Linked DNA regions of Struthio camelus. The protein of the gene in region 1 interacts with the protein of each later gene in a biochemical or structural test. Links are inferred from orthologs where the notes say so. Each region holds a gene or a part of one and is shown on either strand. Other genes may lie near its edges.

Evidence for each region.
Region 2: the proteins of CACNA1A (region 1) and CACNB4 form a complex in vitro, tested with the Homo sapiens proteins (2 studies listed by BioGRID). The link is inferred for Struthio camelus from reciprocal best matches to the Homo sapiens genes CACNA1A and CACNB4.

The regions. Positions count from the first base shown.
Region 1 is NC_090972.1:4,422,006-4,430,306, forward strand, and holds the start of CACNA1A (voltage-dependent P/Q-type calcium channel subunit alpha-1A), read right to left. Parts: upstream 3,455-8,301; 5' UTR 3,067-3,454; coding exon 2,771-3,066; intron 1-2,770.
Region 2 is NC_090947.1:44,648,806-44,657,396, reverse strand, and holds the start of CACNB4 (voltage-dependent L-type calcium channel subunit beta-4), read left to right. Parts: upstream 1-5,477; 5' UTR 5,478-5,567; coding exon 5,568-5,576; intron 5,577-5,719; coding exon 5,720-5,803; intron 5,804-8,591. UniProt on the Homo sapiens protein: The beta subunit of voltage-dependent calcium channels contributes to the function of the calcium channel by increasing peak calcium current, shifting the voltage dependencies of activation and inactivation, modulating G protein inhibition and controlling the alpha-1 subunit membrane targeting.

The DNA.
Region 1 (8,301 bases):
GCACAGCTCAGCTCTCCGGCATAGCCCGGCTATCCGGCACAGCCCGGCTACCCGGCACACCTTGGTTATCCAGCACAGACTGGCTACCCGGCACACCTTGGTTATCCGGCACACCTCGGCTATCCGGCACACCTTGGTTATCCGGCACACCTCGGCTATCCGGCACAGCCCGGCTATCTGGCACAGCCCGGCTATTCGGCACAGCCCGGCTATCCGGCACACCTCGGCTATCCGGCACACCTCGGCTATCCGGCACAGCCCGGCTATCTGGCACACCTCGGCTATCCGGCACACCTCGGCTATCCGGCACAGCCCGGCTATCCGGCACACCTCGGTTATCCGGCACACCTCGGCTATCCGGCACACCTCGGCTATCCGGCACAGCCCGGCTACCCGGCACAGCCCGGCTATCCAGCACAGCCCGGCTACCCGGCACTGCTTCACTATCCAGCACACCTCGGCTACTCGGCACAGCCCGGCTATCCGGCACACCTTGGTTATCCGGCACACCTCGGCTATCCGGCACACCTTGGTTATCCGGCACACCTCGGCTACCCGGCATAGCCCGGCTATCCGGCACACCTCGGCTACCCGGCACACCTCGGCTCTCCGGCACGGCTCCTCGCCATCCACAAACACCTGGGAGCGATGCAGCCGGGGGCCGGCGCTCGGCCTGGTCCCCGGCGGCAGCCCCCGCGCGGGTCCGGAGGTGCCGGCCCTGCCGGAGGCTCCCGGCGCCGAGCGGGGCCCGAGGCTGCGGCCGGCGGCGGGGCTGCGGGCGACACGCGGGAAAAGGGGGAAAAAAGAACAAAAAGGGGAAAAAAAAAGCGAGAGCGAGGCCGGCTGAGCCGCGCGGGGCCGGGGCGGCAGCGGGAGCGCGGGGCCGCCCGGGGGCTCTTGTTTGGACGGAGACCCCGTTTCCCGAGGCGAGGGGCAGCCCGAGGGCCGGAGACGTCCCGGCCCCTCTCCACGGGGCCCCGGGAGGAAGAGGAGGGACCCGCGGCCGCTTGCGGAGGGAAGCGTTGGCCTGCGGCCCCGCCAGCAGCGCGCGGGGGAGCCCGTTACGCAGGTGGGTAAACTGAGGCACGGGGGGGAGCTGCATTCAAAGCCGGAAGCTTTTCCTAAGGGCAGGACTGGCTCCTGCCTCTCGGGCGAGGGCTGAGATCTGGGAGATGGGAGCAGCCGCCCGGCTGGCTCGGCCCCCGGCGCCTTTGGGGGCGTTTGGGTGCCAGGGTCCGGGGGGGGGGACACGGCTCTGCTGCTCGGCACACGGAGGGGGAACGCCGCGCCGGCGAGCCCCGGGGAGCTGCGCGGGCAACGGCAGGCCGGGAAAGCGGCCGAGCAAAACCCGCCGGCATCGCAGCAAAAACCCGCCGGCGCCATGCAGGGGGGGTCCGCGCCGGGGCGTCCGTCCGTCTGTCCGTCCGCCCGGCGCCGGCAGCCCCTGGGGTGAGGAGGAAGGAGCCGGGCGGACATTTCTCCTGCGCGCCGGACTCATCCCTCCGCCACCCACTGCCATAGTAGGGGCGCGCTGCAGCGCACATGCCCAGTCGGGCGGCTGGCAGCGATGACTCTCCAAACCCTCCCGAATCCCCAAGAAGTCTCCGGCGGGCGGCCAGGCAGGGCCGGATCCCCGCGATGCCGAGCCGGGGCGAAAGGCGCCGGGAGCTGGAGCGAGCGCCCCGCTCGAGGCCGCGGCTCGCCGGCGGCGTTTCCCGTCCCCGCCGGTGCCCGCCGCGGAAAACCGGCCCTTGGCCGGCCCGGCGCTCCGACGTCTCTCCCGGCCGGCACGTTCGGGGCGGACGGGCACCGGGGTTGGGGGGGGGGATCAGGCGAGCGCGCGGACGGGCGCTACGTACCCAAGCCGAGCCGGGGACGAAGCAGCGCTGTCCTCTCGGGTCCCGCCGCGGCTGGCGAGAGCCGCTTCCGTGGCAAAGGCCTGGCGGCGATGCCCGGAGGCGGCTGCGAGCCGGCGGGGCCGGCGCAGTCCTGGGCCGCTCTCCAAAAATCGCGCCTTCCCCCCCCATCCCCACCCTGCCCCGGTGCAGCCTGGGTGGCCCCGCTGCTGGCCGGGGGGACGCGGTGGCCCCACGAGGCCGGGGGCACCCCGAGGCTGGGGGCACCCCGAGCCCGGCCGGCACGCCGCGGGAACGGTCCCCCGGGAGTGGGGTTGGGGCGCGGGAACGCAGCCTGGCCGGGGGGCACGGTGGCCCCACGAGGCCGGGGGCACCCCAAGCCCAGCCAGCACCCCGAGCCCGGCCGGCACACCGTGGGAACGGGCACCCCGGGAGCGGGAGCGGGGTGCAGGAACGCAGCCCAGCCGGGGGGCACGGTGGCCCCACGAGGCCGGGGGCACCCCAAGCCCAGCCAGCACCCCGAGCCCGGCCGGCACACCGTGGGAACGGGCACCCCGGGAGCAGGATCGGGGCGCGGGAACACAGCCCGGCCGGGGGGCACGGTGGCCCCACGAGGCCGGGGGCACCCCGAGGCTGGGGGCACCCCGAGCCCGGCCGGCACGCCGCGGGAACGGGCACCCCGGGAGCGGGAGCGGGGCGCGGGAACGCAGCCCACCCGGAGGGATGGAGGGGACACGGACGCATCCGGCAGCCCCGGGGCCGGTGCCGGGGGTGAGCGCAGCATCGACGGAGGCGCCCGGACACCCCGGAGCGGCGCCGGGCCGCGAGCCCCCCGAGAGGCGCTGCGCCGGGGTTGGGGGGGGCATGCAGCGGGGTGTCCCACCCCGTCCCGTCCCCCTGCCCAGAAAGGATATGGCCATTCGGTGATCTTTTTGGCGTATTTCCTCACCACGTTGTCCTCGCTGAAGAGGAAGAGGGAGCGGTTGACAGTCAGGCAGTTCTGCCGGACGGGGATGGGGTTGTAGAGAGCCATGGTGCGGGCTCGCTGGGCCATCGACTGCTTGTACATCCTCTGCGCCCCGGGGGGGCCGCCCGGGCGGGTGCCCCCCGGCGCCCGCCCGCCAGCGCCCGGCGCAGCCCCGGGGCCTCCTGCCCCGGCGGCGCCCGCCGGCCCGTAGCGGGCCGGCACCTCGTCTCCGAAGCGAGCCATCCTGCAAAGAGCAAAGGGCCAGGGGTTACGCGGCGGAGGATGCTGCCGGCGAGGAGCTCATCACATCCCATGGGCCGGCGGCGGCGCGGCGCGGGGGGCCTGGCGGAGCCGGGGGGGCCGCTCAGGCGGCCGCGAGCCTGGACATCCTTCGTCTCTCCTCCCCTTGCAGGAGAGGAGCCGATGCAACCCGCTCCGGGGAGGGGAAAGGCGGGGGGGGGGGCAGCAGTGCACCACCCCTGAAAAAAACGGGGGTTTTGCCAGGGAAGGGGGGGGGAAAAGAGCCCCCCCCCCCAAAAAAAAAACCAAAAAGCAAAAAAAGGGAACTCCTCAATGCACCAAGCGCCCCGGTTCTCCGTCCAGCCGATGCCTTTTCGAGGAAGCCGGGGGGGGGGCGGGGGGAGGGCTGCGATTCCCAAAAAAAAAAAAAAAAAAAATCCCCCAATGCACCACCGGCGGAAAGGGGGAAAAAAAACGGGAGCGAGGTGTTAAAAGGGGAAAATGCCGCCCCCCCGGGCGAGGGACGGCCACGGGGCTAATTGCGATTCGGGAGAGCCAGGGCAGCAGCCTCTCCGCCGCCCCCCCGCGCGCCCAAAGCCCCCAATGCACCAATTCCTCAGCCCGACCTCGCCGGGGCGGCGGGGGGGCACCGGCACCCGGGGGAAAAAAATGCACCAGCGGCGCGATGGTCGCGCCGGGAACGGGGTGGGGAGGGGGGGGGGCCAAGCCGGGACGGCGAGCGGAGCGAGAAGGAGGAGGAGGGGGGGGCAAAAAAAAAAAATCTAGCCCCCCCACCCCTTTCCCCCCCCCAAAAAAAGAAACCACCCAGCTCAAATCAGTGCCCCCCACTGCGCCTCGCCCGCCCCCCCCCCCAAAAGCAGCCGCAAATCGCAACGGCGGAGGACAAAAAAGCAGCCAGGTATTAAAAAGCCGGGGGGGGGGGAAGGAAAAAAAAAAAAAGGCCCCAAAAAGAAACGAAAAACCAAAAAAGAGGCGCCCCCCCCCCGCCGCCGCCGCCTCGCCCAGGTGCCTGCTTTCACGCGTGCATCGCGCCGGGCGCGGGGGGGGCTCCACGGGGGCTGGGCGCGCGTGGGGGGGGGGCTCGCCGCGGGGCGGGGGGGGGGGTCACTCCCGCATCATCTCGGAGTTGAATGCAGCAAAGAAATCCTGTAAAATCCGGCCGGGGCAGAGCGGCGAGAAGTAGGTCCCATCCACCGCGCGCTCGGGAGGCTTCCCCGCATGCGGCAGCGGCGCGCAGCTGCTTGTGCCCCTTTCCCCCCCTCCCCTGCCCTGTATTCCTCCACCTCCTCCTCCTCCTCTTGGGTTATAGCTAAAATAAGACCGGTGTTAGGGAGGGAGGGAGGAGGGGGGGAAAGGGAAGGGAACAAAAAAAAAAAGGGCTCTGATTCACTGGCAGGTTGAGCTCTAACGTGCAGCAACTCATCAATTTAATGCAAGCTCAGAGCCGCGGCCCCGGCTCGGCACATGACGGGGCCGGGACCAATGGGGGCCGCATCCTGCCCCGGCCGGTCCCCAGGCCGCGCTGCGGTGCGCGCACGAGGCCCGGCAGGGTCACCCGCCGGTGCGTGTCGGCGCGCGATGGCGTGCGAGAGCGGGCGCGGGTTTGTGTGTGCGTGTGTGCTGGTGTGCGATCGCGTGTGAGAGCGGGTGCATGTGTGTGCGTGTGTGCTGGTGTGCGATCGCGTGCGAGAGCGGGTGCATGTGTGTGCGTGTGTGCTGGTGTGCGATCGCGTGCGAGAGCGGGTGCATGTGTGTGCTGGTGTGCGATCGCGTGTGAGAGCGGGTGCATGTGTGTGCTGGTGTGCGATCGCGTGCGAGAGCGGGTGCATGTGTGTGCGTGTGTGCTGGTGTGCGATCGCGTGCGAGAGCGGGTGCATGTGTGTGCTGGTGTGCGATCGCGTGCGAGAGCGGGTGCATGTGTGTGCGTGTGTGCTGGTGTGCGATCGCGTGCGAGAGCGGGTGCATGTGTGTGCGTGTGTGCTGGTGTGCGATCGCGTGCGAGAGCAGGTGCATGTGTGTGCTGGTGTGCGATCGCGTGTGAGAGCGGGTGCATGTGTGTGCCGGTGTGCAATCGCGTGCAAGAGCGGGTGCATGTGTGTGCGTGTGTGCTGGTGTGCGATCGCGTGCGAGAGCGGGTGCATGTGCGTACCGGTGTGCAATTGCGTGCAAGAGTGGGCGCGGGTTTGTGTGTGCACGTGCCAGCATGCAATCACGTGCGAGAGCGGGTGCATGTGCGTGCCGGTGTGCAATTGTGTGCAAGAGCGGGCGCGGGTTTGTGTGTGCGTGTGCTGGTGTGTGATCGCGTGCGAGAGCGGGTGCATGTGTGTGCCGGTGTGCAAACGCATGCTAGAGCGGGCACGTTTGTGTGCACGTGCAACGTGCAATCGCATGCGAGAGCGGGCGCGTGTTCGTGTGTGCCTGTGCTGGTGTGCGATTGCGTGCGAGAGCGGGCGTGTGTTTGTGTGTGCGTGCTGGTGTGCGATCACGTGCCAGAGCGGGTGCGTGTTCGTGTGTGCGTGTGCTGGTGTGCAATCGCGTGCCAGAGCAGGTGCATGTGCATGCCGGTGTGCAATTGTGTGCGAGAGCGGGCGCGTGTTCATGTGCGCGTGCAACGTGCGATCGCGTGCAAGAGCAGGCGCATGTCCTTGTGCATGTGCCGGCGTGCGATCGCGTGCGAGAGCAGGCACATGTCCGTGTCCGTGTGCGTGTGCTGGTGTGCAGTCGCGTGCGGGAGCATGTGTGTGTCCACATGCATGCATTGGTGTGCGATCGTGTGCAAGAGCACGTGCATGTCTGTGTGTGCACGTCAGCGTGCAATCGCGAGCAAGAGCATGTGCATGTCAGTGAGTACAAGCCTGTGCACAAGCGCGTGCAACAGTGCATGCAGGACCGAGAGGTCAATGTGCACGGCCACATGCACGGTGATGTGCACGACCAACACGTGTGGCCACGTGCACGAGCGCGCGCAACACTGTGCGTGACCGACACGCACACCCACGCGCACGGCTGCGTGTGCAAGACTGCATGGCGGCATGGCCAACGCGCGCGTGCGCGTGCACGGCTGCATGCGTAACTGCGTGACCACACGGCCAACGTGCAGGACCAAACGCACGACTGTGTGCACAACCGCATGCACAACCACGTGGTGCTGTGCACAGCTGCACGCACGACTGTATGCACAACCACGTGGTGCTGTGCACAGCTGCACGCCTGACCCCATGCTCAACTGCACACCTGATGTGCACAGCCGCACGCACAACTGCATGCACACCCATGTCGTGCTGTGCACAAGCGCACGCACGACCGCACGCACACCCACACGGTGCTGTGCACAAGCGCACGCACGACCGTTGCCGTGACCCCCGTGGCTGTTGCGCGCAACCGCACGCACGAGCACGGGCACAACTGCACGGCCGACGCGCGCAGGCACAGGCGCGACCGTGCACGGCCGCAGGGCTGCTGTGCACGATGGCACGCACAGCCGCGCACGAGGCGGCGCGCAACCACGCGCCCGAGCCCGGGAACAGCCGCGACGCGGGGACGGCGCCGGCGCTGGCGCTGCTCCCGCGGCCTCTGCCCGCCGAGCTGCTCCCCGGCGATGTAATTACGCTGCCGGCGCCCGGTTTGACAAGTCACGTTGACCCGCGCAAAGGGAACAGGCGCCCTCGGCAGCACCGCCGCCCGCCCCGGCGGCCCTTATCAGCGCGCGCCTCCAGCAACCCTCGCTCAGCGCTTCCCGGCTCCGTCCGCCCGGCTTCGCCGAAAAAAACCCCAAAAAAGAGCCCGGAGGAGCCGGCGCCGCCGCCAGGAGAGGCTCCCCGGGGGCCGGCTTTGGGTCTCCCACGCATGCACCGAGCGCAGCAGGTCTCAGCCCGCACTGCGCACGAGCATCCCTTCGCCCCGCGCCGGTCCCGCGCCCGGCCCGGTGCAGACCAGCCCCGCGCCGGATCCGGCTGCATTTCCGGGGCGACAAGGGGGGATTTCTCGGAGATTAGAGAAAACAGGAGAGGGGAAAAGGCCGCCGGGGAAAGGCAGAGGGGAAGCCGCCGGCTCGCTCGGAGAGAGGCAGGAACGTCCCCGAAGCGGGATGATGCCGCGGGAGAGGAGGGAAGCGGGTTAGGAGGGAGCCCGGGACGGGCCCGAGAGGCGTCCCGCTCCCTCCCTCCTCCTGCACGCGCTCAGCCCAGCTTTTCCTTCGGGATAAAAGGCCGAAGCGGGCGGCGGCGGCAGGAGCAGGGCGCCCCGGGGACCGTGCACGGTCCTGCTCGCGCCCGTCCCGCTCCCGGCTGGTGGCTCCGGCCCGGAGACTCGCAGCGTCCACGGTGTTTCCAATGTCCGGGACGAGGTGGGAGATGCCGGCTCCTTGCTGGGGGGGGGGGGGGGGGGGGAATCCCAGGGCGGCCGCGGCCTCGGCACCCGGATGTGGCTGGAGCCGAGGGAACAAAGGGCGGCGATGCTGCACCGGCCTGCATCCCGCATCCTGCATCCTGCATCCCGTATCCTGCATCCCGCATCCTGTATCCCACATCCTGCATCCCGCATCCTGTATCCCACATCCTGCATCCTGCATCCTGTATCCCGCATCCCGCATCCTGCATCCTGCATCCCGCATCCTGCATCCTGTATCCCGCATCCTGCATCCCGCATCCTGTATCCCACATCCCGCATCCTGCATCCTGCGTCCTGCATCCTGTATCCCGCATCCTGCATCCTGCATCCCGCATCCCGCATCCTGTATCCTGCATCCAGCATCCTGCATCCTGTATCCCACATCCCGCATCCTGCATCCCGTATCCTGCATCCCACTTCCCACATTCTGCTCCCTGCATCCCGTATCCCGCCTCCCGCCTCCCACATCCTGCATCCTGCATCCCGTATCCCGCCTCCCGCCTCCCACATCCTGTATCCTGCATCCTGCATCCCGTATCCCACATCCCGCCTCCCACATCCTGTATCCTGCATCCCGCATCCCGCACCCCGCTTCCCGCCTCCCGGCGGCCCGTAGCCGCCAGAGGGAGCCTCGGGCAGCGCGACGGGACAAAACCCCATTTCTGAGACGCGAGGGGCTGCGGGCGGCGGAGGGGGGCGGCAAGCAGGGGGGCGCAAGGGGCACGCAGGGACGCGCCGGAGCCGGAGCGGCCAGGCGCCGCCGGAGACCCGGCCCGGCGGGCGGCGCGGGGGCGAACGAGCCCCCCCGGCGCTCGGCAGCGCCGTGCC
Region 2 (8,591 bases), on another chromosome or scaffold:
AGATTTTTACACTGCTGCCTATTAAATCTTGGGGAAAGCTACAGAAAACTCCTGTTTTCTTTCTCTTGAAAGAAACGAGAGAGCTCTAGCTAAAAGCCCAGCTGTTTCTTCCTTGGCAGAGGTGGGATTGCAAGCACAAGTTTCCTTTGCGAGAACAGGCAAGGGATGATCGCAGCTGACTGTGTGGGCCCTCTGTGGATGCAAGGTGCTGAGCCAGAAACTTGTATAGAATCTCTTTTCCTTTTTTGATGTATTTAGAAGTGAAGGAGTATACTAGTTCCTTGTGGTAAAGGAGGGACTCAAGAATGTTTGAAACTTAAGACTGTGAGAATCTGCCTTGTTCCCCTTTAAATGGGGAGCAAAGTGGAGCAGAAATCATGTTTATGGGACCAGGGAATTCTTGCCTCTTTTGGATTTCCTTTCTTTGCCACCATTTACATGTCTGAATGCTGACTACAGTCAGAGAAAAACTCTCAAACCATTTGAAACAGGTGTCTTTTAACTCGCAGTATGTATAGACAGAAGAAGTGCTTTACCAGTGGGACTGTGTTCCTCCTTTAATATAAGGAATGGGTGCATGTTTAAAATGACAGATGTGTCTTTAAAAAAGGATTTGCCTTGGAACCGCAACTGTAGCGTTTGGTGGATAAGAAAAGAAATCTAAGACTTCCTTCCCTGATGCACTTTTTTAATGGGTGGGTGGGAGGAGGGGCTGGTTGGTTTGTTTTTGTGGGGTTTTGTTGGGTTTTTGCAGGGGGGAGAGGAGTAGATGAACTGAAGTCTCTTTCAGGAACATGGGATTTCTTTCTTTTACTCCTTCCACCTCTGGAAAAATCACTTAATTTTCCAATTTACGTACTCACTTTAGCATGGTCATGTTTATACGTGTTTTAACTATGTTATGATGAATAATAATCTTTAGACTGGGAAAATAATGGGAGCAAATCACTGATTTAAACAAAAATCTTGATTAAATGCAGGAAACTCCAAAAATCTCCAAATTAAAGAGTGTTTGGTGTATCATTTTTCTACCAAATGAGAACAGTTGTATTATAGACTGAGTAATAAAAATTACCCTTCACTCAGTACCACCTCCATTTCTTTCACATTTCATTAAATTATTTAGTATCATGACCTTATTCATTTGCAGCTTTATGCTTATGCAATAAGGTACCTGCTCTTTGAATCATTTTGTATTTAAATTTGTGCAATTGGAAGGAAGCTTTTGTCTTTCCTTTTGACATGACATTAATTTGTCTTTATCCTTCCCCGTGAAGTAGCTTAGTATAAATAACACATGTTGCAATACTGAAGTATTTTGATAACTTGTTCCTTGTGTTCTTTAAAAAGAAGAATTAATTTCAATGCTGCTGTTCAAAATTCTTATCGTTGAGGAACTTTTTTGTAAAGAGTTTACTTTGTTCCAAACTGGTATGTAATCAAACTAAATCTTGCTATCATTTATGTAGAGTATCCACGTTTATTAGTAAAGGAGATAAAGGTAGGTATTTTTATTGGATTCAAAGATTTGATCCAACGGAAATATTGAGCAGTATCTTAAATTGCGAGAGCGAGACAGATGTGATTTGATTACATTTAGTTAATTATTTTATGAAATATAAATAATGTATATACTCATTTGTCTGAGATTTTCTACGCAGCTACATATAAGCATACTGTTAAAGCCTGAAATTTTATAAAAGCAGGATCTGCCATTCTGTCATCTCTTATATTCCTTATTCTGTGATATGCAACTTGTAGATAGTGTAAAATAATTTAATTATTAAAATTGTGTATTTAGAGGGTTTTGGTGTTAAAAGGATCTGTTTTTTCTCTTCATACTTCTATACATTATCATATTTATTTTTAAGGCCTGATTGTAACGGAACATGCTGCCAAAGGATTTATCTAACTTCAGATTTCTACATTAGGTTTATACCTACTGTTTTATATCAGGAATCAATGGTAGATAACTTCTGCTTTTTCATATAAACTCTTATTGTTTAACATAGAAGTTTGTGCAACTTTATAATGAGAATTTTATTGTAATATATTTGTTTCATGGGTGTTGAAAATATCAATACTAGATAAACTTTCTTCTAGTATGAGTTTGCAAGCTATTATGTCTAAGTTATAGTCCGCTGAAAGCAACAATTTAATTTGTCTTTAATATCACCATGCAGAGATGTGTTTTGGGAAATCTTAATGTTTCATATAGCCTTGATGTGACTTAGGCATTGTCTATTTAATTTGTTATAGAAATTACAATATTAAAAAATATAATGGGTTCTGTAACAGGTAAACCTTAAAATAATGTTCTGTGTTCATTTTACTTTGGCTTTTCTTTGTAAATGTTGACTCGTGGAATAGCGTAATCCTTCTGAAGGCTGTCCTTTAGCAAGGAGAGCTGGGGGGTCATGACTGTGCTGCAATCTCTTAGTCGTTATTTTCTGATAGGAAGATTTTTCTTTTTTTAATCTATGCATCTTTTCTAAGAAATAATAGGCACTACTCTTGCTTACACTGAACACTGTGATGTGTCTGTTGAATGAATAACTTTTTAGAATTTGTGGCTCTTACCAGTTACATTTTACATGAAGCTAACTGAAACTGTTTTGAATTGGAAAAGATGAAAAATGAAGGAAAGAGAAATGGGGCAGGTTCTGAGCACTCTTGAATTTTCTGTTAGAGTCACTGGAATTGTAGCATCTGCCGATCTGCTAGCTAGTGATCTGGCCCCCAAGGTTACACCATGCCGGAACTTTAAATTCAGATTAAGGTTCCACTTCTGTTTTGTCTGGGGTTTGAGTTGAACATCTGTTGGTTAATAGATGTATCGCAGTTCTTGCAGAAAATCATCCTAAAGAGTTTGCAGCCTTAAGAGTAAAGGGATGTGTTTTATTGGAGTACCCATCTGGCCTCTTGTCTGCAATGTGTGTGCATTGCCTTGTGTGAATAAAGCAAATTTGTTTAACAACACAGGTGAGGAGTTTTCTGTTCATGGCATGGTGAAATCCTTGCCAGAGAGAAGAGGCAGAGGCGACACGAGACGCTGCTGGCAGCGGATGGTTGCGTGAATGTCGCGGCTCCGGCCCTGGCGGACCCTGCTGTGCCCTCCGCTGGCTCTGCCCTCCCCATATTGGCGGTGGCACGTCGGCCACCAGCTCCAGCTCATCCTCTTCCAACCCGGTATCAGCAAAGCTAGTGCTCTGGAAGAGACTCCTTATTTCGGAGCTGTGCTACGTTCCCCTCTGTTGATGAGCTTTTCTAATTGGGAACCAGTGCTCTGTTACCTTTAATTGCCTATAAGCTAGGCTTAGTGTGCGAGAGTGACAATACTGCTACATGTTGGGTGTTAATTGTGGAATCAAAGAGGAACAACTGATAAATACCAGTGCTACTACACTTCACCACAAATGACGTGTTCATATAAACAAATACACTGCTCTTAGGATGTGCAATACAATCAAATTTTAAGAGCCACGATTCATTACGGCTTACAGTGGGTTTTCAAGGAGACGCTAAACAGTCTATCCAAAAATATTTCTAGCACGCACAAAATAACTCCTTATGCTTTGAAGATATCCTCTACTAATGCTGTGAATGGACTCCAACACAATGCATGCACTTGGTAACAACTTATATTAATTATTATTCAGATATTTAAACCATTGTATTCCACCATTCATTTACAACATCCTTTTGAGTTACTAACCCCCATGGCTTCATTTCAGGTCACGTTACACAGTAAATCTACATCTTACCAAAGCAAAGCACTTACTAAATTATTGGCAAAAGCAATACTTAAGCCTTGTTTTTCCTTTCAAATCTCAGCCTAGACATTGCTATGTCTTGCTAAAATGAGAAGGTGACGTGCTTAATTTTCTGGACAGTATCTTAATTTGGGAAGCCAGCCATGTACTCAGGCATGCTAATGTTTAAAGAAAAGTATCCTTCCTAGTGCTGGTTTAATGATTAAACAATTTAAAAAAATCTAATTTAGACTAGAGCGTTCATGACCCACATTCGTCTTGGATAAAGAAACCAGGCTGCCTAATTTCACCCAAGGCATTTGCAAAAATCTACAGTTTGTGTCTACAGCGGGAGAGAAAGACGTGTTTGCTGTGTGCTGCAGGCGTTCCCCAGAGGGGCGCGTGCGCTGCAGGTAGCCGGTGGAGATCACTTTTCAGAGCCTGATTTGGGCCCGTCGCTCAGACGTTTGCCTTGACGCTGCTTTGGTTTCACGCGCCGGTTTCCTTAGCTGCACGAATCCTTGCTGAAAACTGAAGGCTGCAGCGAATGCCTGGGAAGGGATGGCCTACAAACGTAGATAAAGTCGTCACCCCGTGCATTAGAGGAAATGGTAGCGCTTTGATACGTCTGTACGCTTTCCTTCTCTATCCGTTTCCTGGTTAGTTGAAAAAAAATTTTTTTTTGGAGAGGGGGCTGCTCAACGCTGCTTGGTTTAACAGTGAGATCAGCTCATTTCAGTGGGAGGTGCAAGCTACTTGTAGTTAAAGCACAGGAGTGGGAAGCAGGAAAGCCAGGTCCTGTTTCCAATTCTTCCCCAGATTTCCTGCTAAACTTCACGTTAATCACTTAATCTCTGGTTTTATTTTTATTCCTCTGCAAATTGCAGCGCTCTTGATGCATGGCAGTCGGTGCAAATTAGCGCTGTGACGGGTGCTCGGGAAGTGCTAGGTGGCACCGCACGGGAGGCCCAAGGGTGCCCTTTTAAACGGCTGGAATGGTTTCAGCGCCGTTTCAGGTTAAAGAGGTCAAACTGGGTTCACAGTCCAGTACCGGTCCGTAGCATCTGCAGCCTGAGTCTGCCAAGGTGCCGTGCGTGGGACGTGGCGCAACGCAGCTCTCCGGGACGGATGGGGACGATCACCGGTTTGCGCGGCAAAATGAACACCGTCACGTTAGCTACGGCGATGGCCGTTAGTTTACGAGCCCGAATAAATTGCACGGCTTCGCCTAAGCAGACGACGCGGGGGGCTCCCGCCCTGCGCCGAGCTCCGCCAACCTCACCCCGGCTCAGGGCTCAACCGCAGCCCCGGCGTCGACGCTCAGCCGCTATCGCCTCGGCCGGCCCGGCCGCTCCCCCGTGCCTCGGGGACCCCCGGTTTCGGCTGCCCCCCTTCCACCCAGCCAGGGGAAACGGCTTCTCCGCGTGGAGGGGTGCGGGGGTGTCGCCTTGGCGGGGGCCGCTGCCGCCGCTGCCTCAGGGGCCGCGGTTCCCGCCTCGGGCGGCGCCGCCTCAGGGCCCGCGGTTCCCGCCTCAGGGGCCGCCGCCGCCGCCGCCTCAGGGGCCGCGGTTCCCGCCTCAGGGGGCGCCGCCGCCTCAGGGGCCGCGGTTCCCGCCTCGGGCGGCGCCATCTCGCGAGCCGCCCCCCGAGGGGCCGCGCCGCCGCCGCCGCCGCCGGAGGAGCCGCCCGCCGCTCCCGCCCCTCAGGTAGCTCTGCTCCCGCCCTGCCTCCTCCCTCCTCCTCCTCGCCCTGCCCCTCGGCGCGCTCGCTCGCCGGCAGGCAGCAGGCAGCCCCGCCGTGCCGATCCTCGCTGTCATGGCTGCGGTGGGTGCCGCTGCGTGGGGGCGGCCGGGCCGGGTCGGGTCGGGTCGGGGATGGCAGTGCGGGGTGGGGTGGGGTGGGGTGGGGTGGGGTGGGGGGGTCAGGCCGGCGGCGCGACCCTCATGTCTTCGCCTTCCCCGGCGCAGGTGACGAGGGGCACGGCGACGCGCCGCAGCCGCCTGAAGCGCTCCGACGGCAGCACCACCTCCACCAGCTTCATCCTGCGGCAGGTGAGGCCGGGCGCGGCCGCGGGCCGGGCGGGCGCTGCCGGCGGAGCGGCGCGGAGCGGGGCGGGAGCTGCTCGGGGCGCCGCCGCCCCGGCCCCGGCCCGCGCCCTCGGGGCCGCCCCGCGCTGCGCCGCTCCGCGCCGCCCCGAGGGCAGGTCGGCGCCCGGAGCCCGCTGCCCCCACCGGGGGCTGCGCGCAGAGCGCGGTGTGCTTTTTGCGTCTTTATTCCTTATCTTGTGTGTGCGTGTGTGGTTTTGTCCCCCTTGAAATACCTAAAATCGCAACTTATTTTCATACCTGGGGTCAGGCCAGCGTGCTTCACGTTCCCTGCTAAAATCGTGTATATATGCACACGCACACGTATATATCGTATATAATCATATATATATATATTTATGTGTGTGTGTATATGTATGTGTATATATAAAATATATATATTTTTTCTCCTTGCACTGCCTAAAAGTCATTTGGGAGAGCGCTGGGGTTGGTTGCCTCCCCGGCTCGCGCCGCGGAGCGCCCCGGCAGGAGTTCCCGGCCTCTTTCCGCTGGCGGCGTTAGGGAACGGCGCTCTCCTGCGTGGTGAGCCAGCCTTAGTAAACCGTTGGAAACGACTTGAAGACGTCCACGGATAACGTTTATTTGGCTTATTGCGTAGCTTCGTTTTAAATCGCGAGCACAAATCTCCTTGAGGCAGAAGCAAAGTTAGCAAAGTTTGGGGATTTGGACTCGCTCGTGTTCTTCTTTTGTTGTGATCAAAGTGGTTTGTTTTTTTTTTTTTGTTTTTAAGCACTGAGTTTAGGAGGGTTTTTGTGCTGCTGTTAGCACTGCTTTGAGAGCCCCGCTGTGGGGGACCGTGCGGCTCGGGGCCTCGCTCTGTGCGCACAGAAGCTGTGGTTACTCGGTCTCCCTCTGTACCAGATTATCCCCGGCCTCTGGGGGAAGGTGAAACACAGGAGAGCTGGACTTAACGCTGTAAGCCCCGAGTGTCCAAGAATTGCGAGAGGGAGGCCTGAAAAAATCGGTCTGAAGTTAACGATTGCTTTAGAAATTAGGTTTATTGTGTTTGCCTTCCAGTTTCTAAGCCGCAGCTTGCGCTTTGGGCTGGTTTTCTAGGTATTCTCTGTAACAGCGAGGGCAGGAAATACACTTTTCGGAAAGCATGAAAGCTGGGACTTTAGAGGAGTTGAGGATTTTTGAAAAACATGCTTGCAATGCAGCGTCACGAGCACTGGCCTCTCGGTTTGGGGCTTCGGGCTTATTGGTGCTAATTATACAGTTGTCCTGCTTCCCCTGGCGTTGCAGGAGTAACGCTAGCAATTTAGATGAAGCCTCCTGCTAACAGTTACCTTTTCTTTTTCTGTTTCCAGTCTTAGCTCTTGTCTGTTAGCTCTCCCGCGATAAAGTAAAAACTAGTATCCTTAGTCTCACCGAAGCTTTACTTTCTCTCTTAAATGATGCTTGCTGGAGAAACTTTGTTAATTTGCTTTAAAAGTAAATGAGATGAACTGTTTCTGGAGATTATTCCTTTTTACGTACAAAAAATTTACCCGGAGCCTGAACCCGTGTACTCCACAGGCACCCAAATCTCTCAGTGCCATTCGCAGAAATTTAGGCAATTACAAGGAAAGCAGAACTGGGTCCTTGAAAAACCAGGGGCCGCGTGTCATGCGTAGAAGCGTGTTTCGCGCAGGACGTGGAAGTTGTCAGTTGGATTGGTCGGTCAGATAAGGAGATATAAATAACCCCGGCAAGGTTTCTGTGGTGTTCTCCGTTCATCCTTCCAGGCCAAGCCAGAATCGCAGCAATTTCCGACTGGCAGCCAGCCCTCGTTTCCAGCGGAGTCAAGCGCGACGTCACCGTAGCCCCAATGACAGTCGGGATCTGAAGCATAAGGTGGTCTCAGCCAAATAACTTAGAATTGCGACAGTGCTAAATAAATACGCAAGGCGTTTTATCCCCACTTTGTGCGTTGTGGCAGTTCAGCAGATGCTGTGGGCCCTTCTGGAGATGTCCCGAACGGTCTCGTCGGTTGTCAGAAGTGTCATTTGAAGGGGTGGGTTTTGGGTCATACTCGCATAGGCAATTACGGGCTTGATCTTCAGGTTTTTGACCTGCTGGGTTGGTTTCGTTTGTGATTTAGACGGACGCAGTGAGGATAACCGGCTTCACTCCGGAGCAGAGCACGCGGTGTCTGAAGCGCGAGTCCACGGCGTGGGGGTTTTGAGCCCTTGCGTGTGTGAGAGCTCACGCGAGTGCCCGGGAAGGCTGCTGCTTGTGGGCAGGAGCCTGGTTTTCAAACAAACTAGCAAGGTGTCCTATTTGAATTATGCTGCACCTAATACCTTTTTTTGGGGGTTCAAAATACGCTGAAACGTTTCCTGTGCTTGAGACCCTTCTGTGTGTCTCACGTTGCAGGGCTTGGGGTGCTCTGTAAGTACTGTAGTGTGTTTCAACGCATCCGTGTTTGCTGTCTTTGTTTCTGAAACCCCTCCTTGAAGGATTGCTTTATAGTAGATAATACACTAAAGCGGTGCTGCCATATACCTGAGGCCCTTCATTTTGGTCTAATTGAATTATAAATCACAGCTTGTACGTCTTGCATCCTACAGTTTACCGAATTCAAATGGGAACTGAAGTGCGCAAGGATTATTTAGTTGTCCTTTATAGAGCAAGCCCTGTGGTGGCCAAGGATCCAATTTCCAAACTTCAAGTGCTCGTGTGAATGGGCTGTACCTATTACTGTGCTCTTAACTTGCATGCTTAGCTTAATTACCTGCACAGTTCGTAAGTG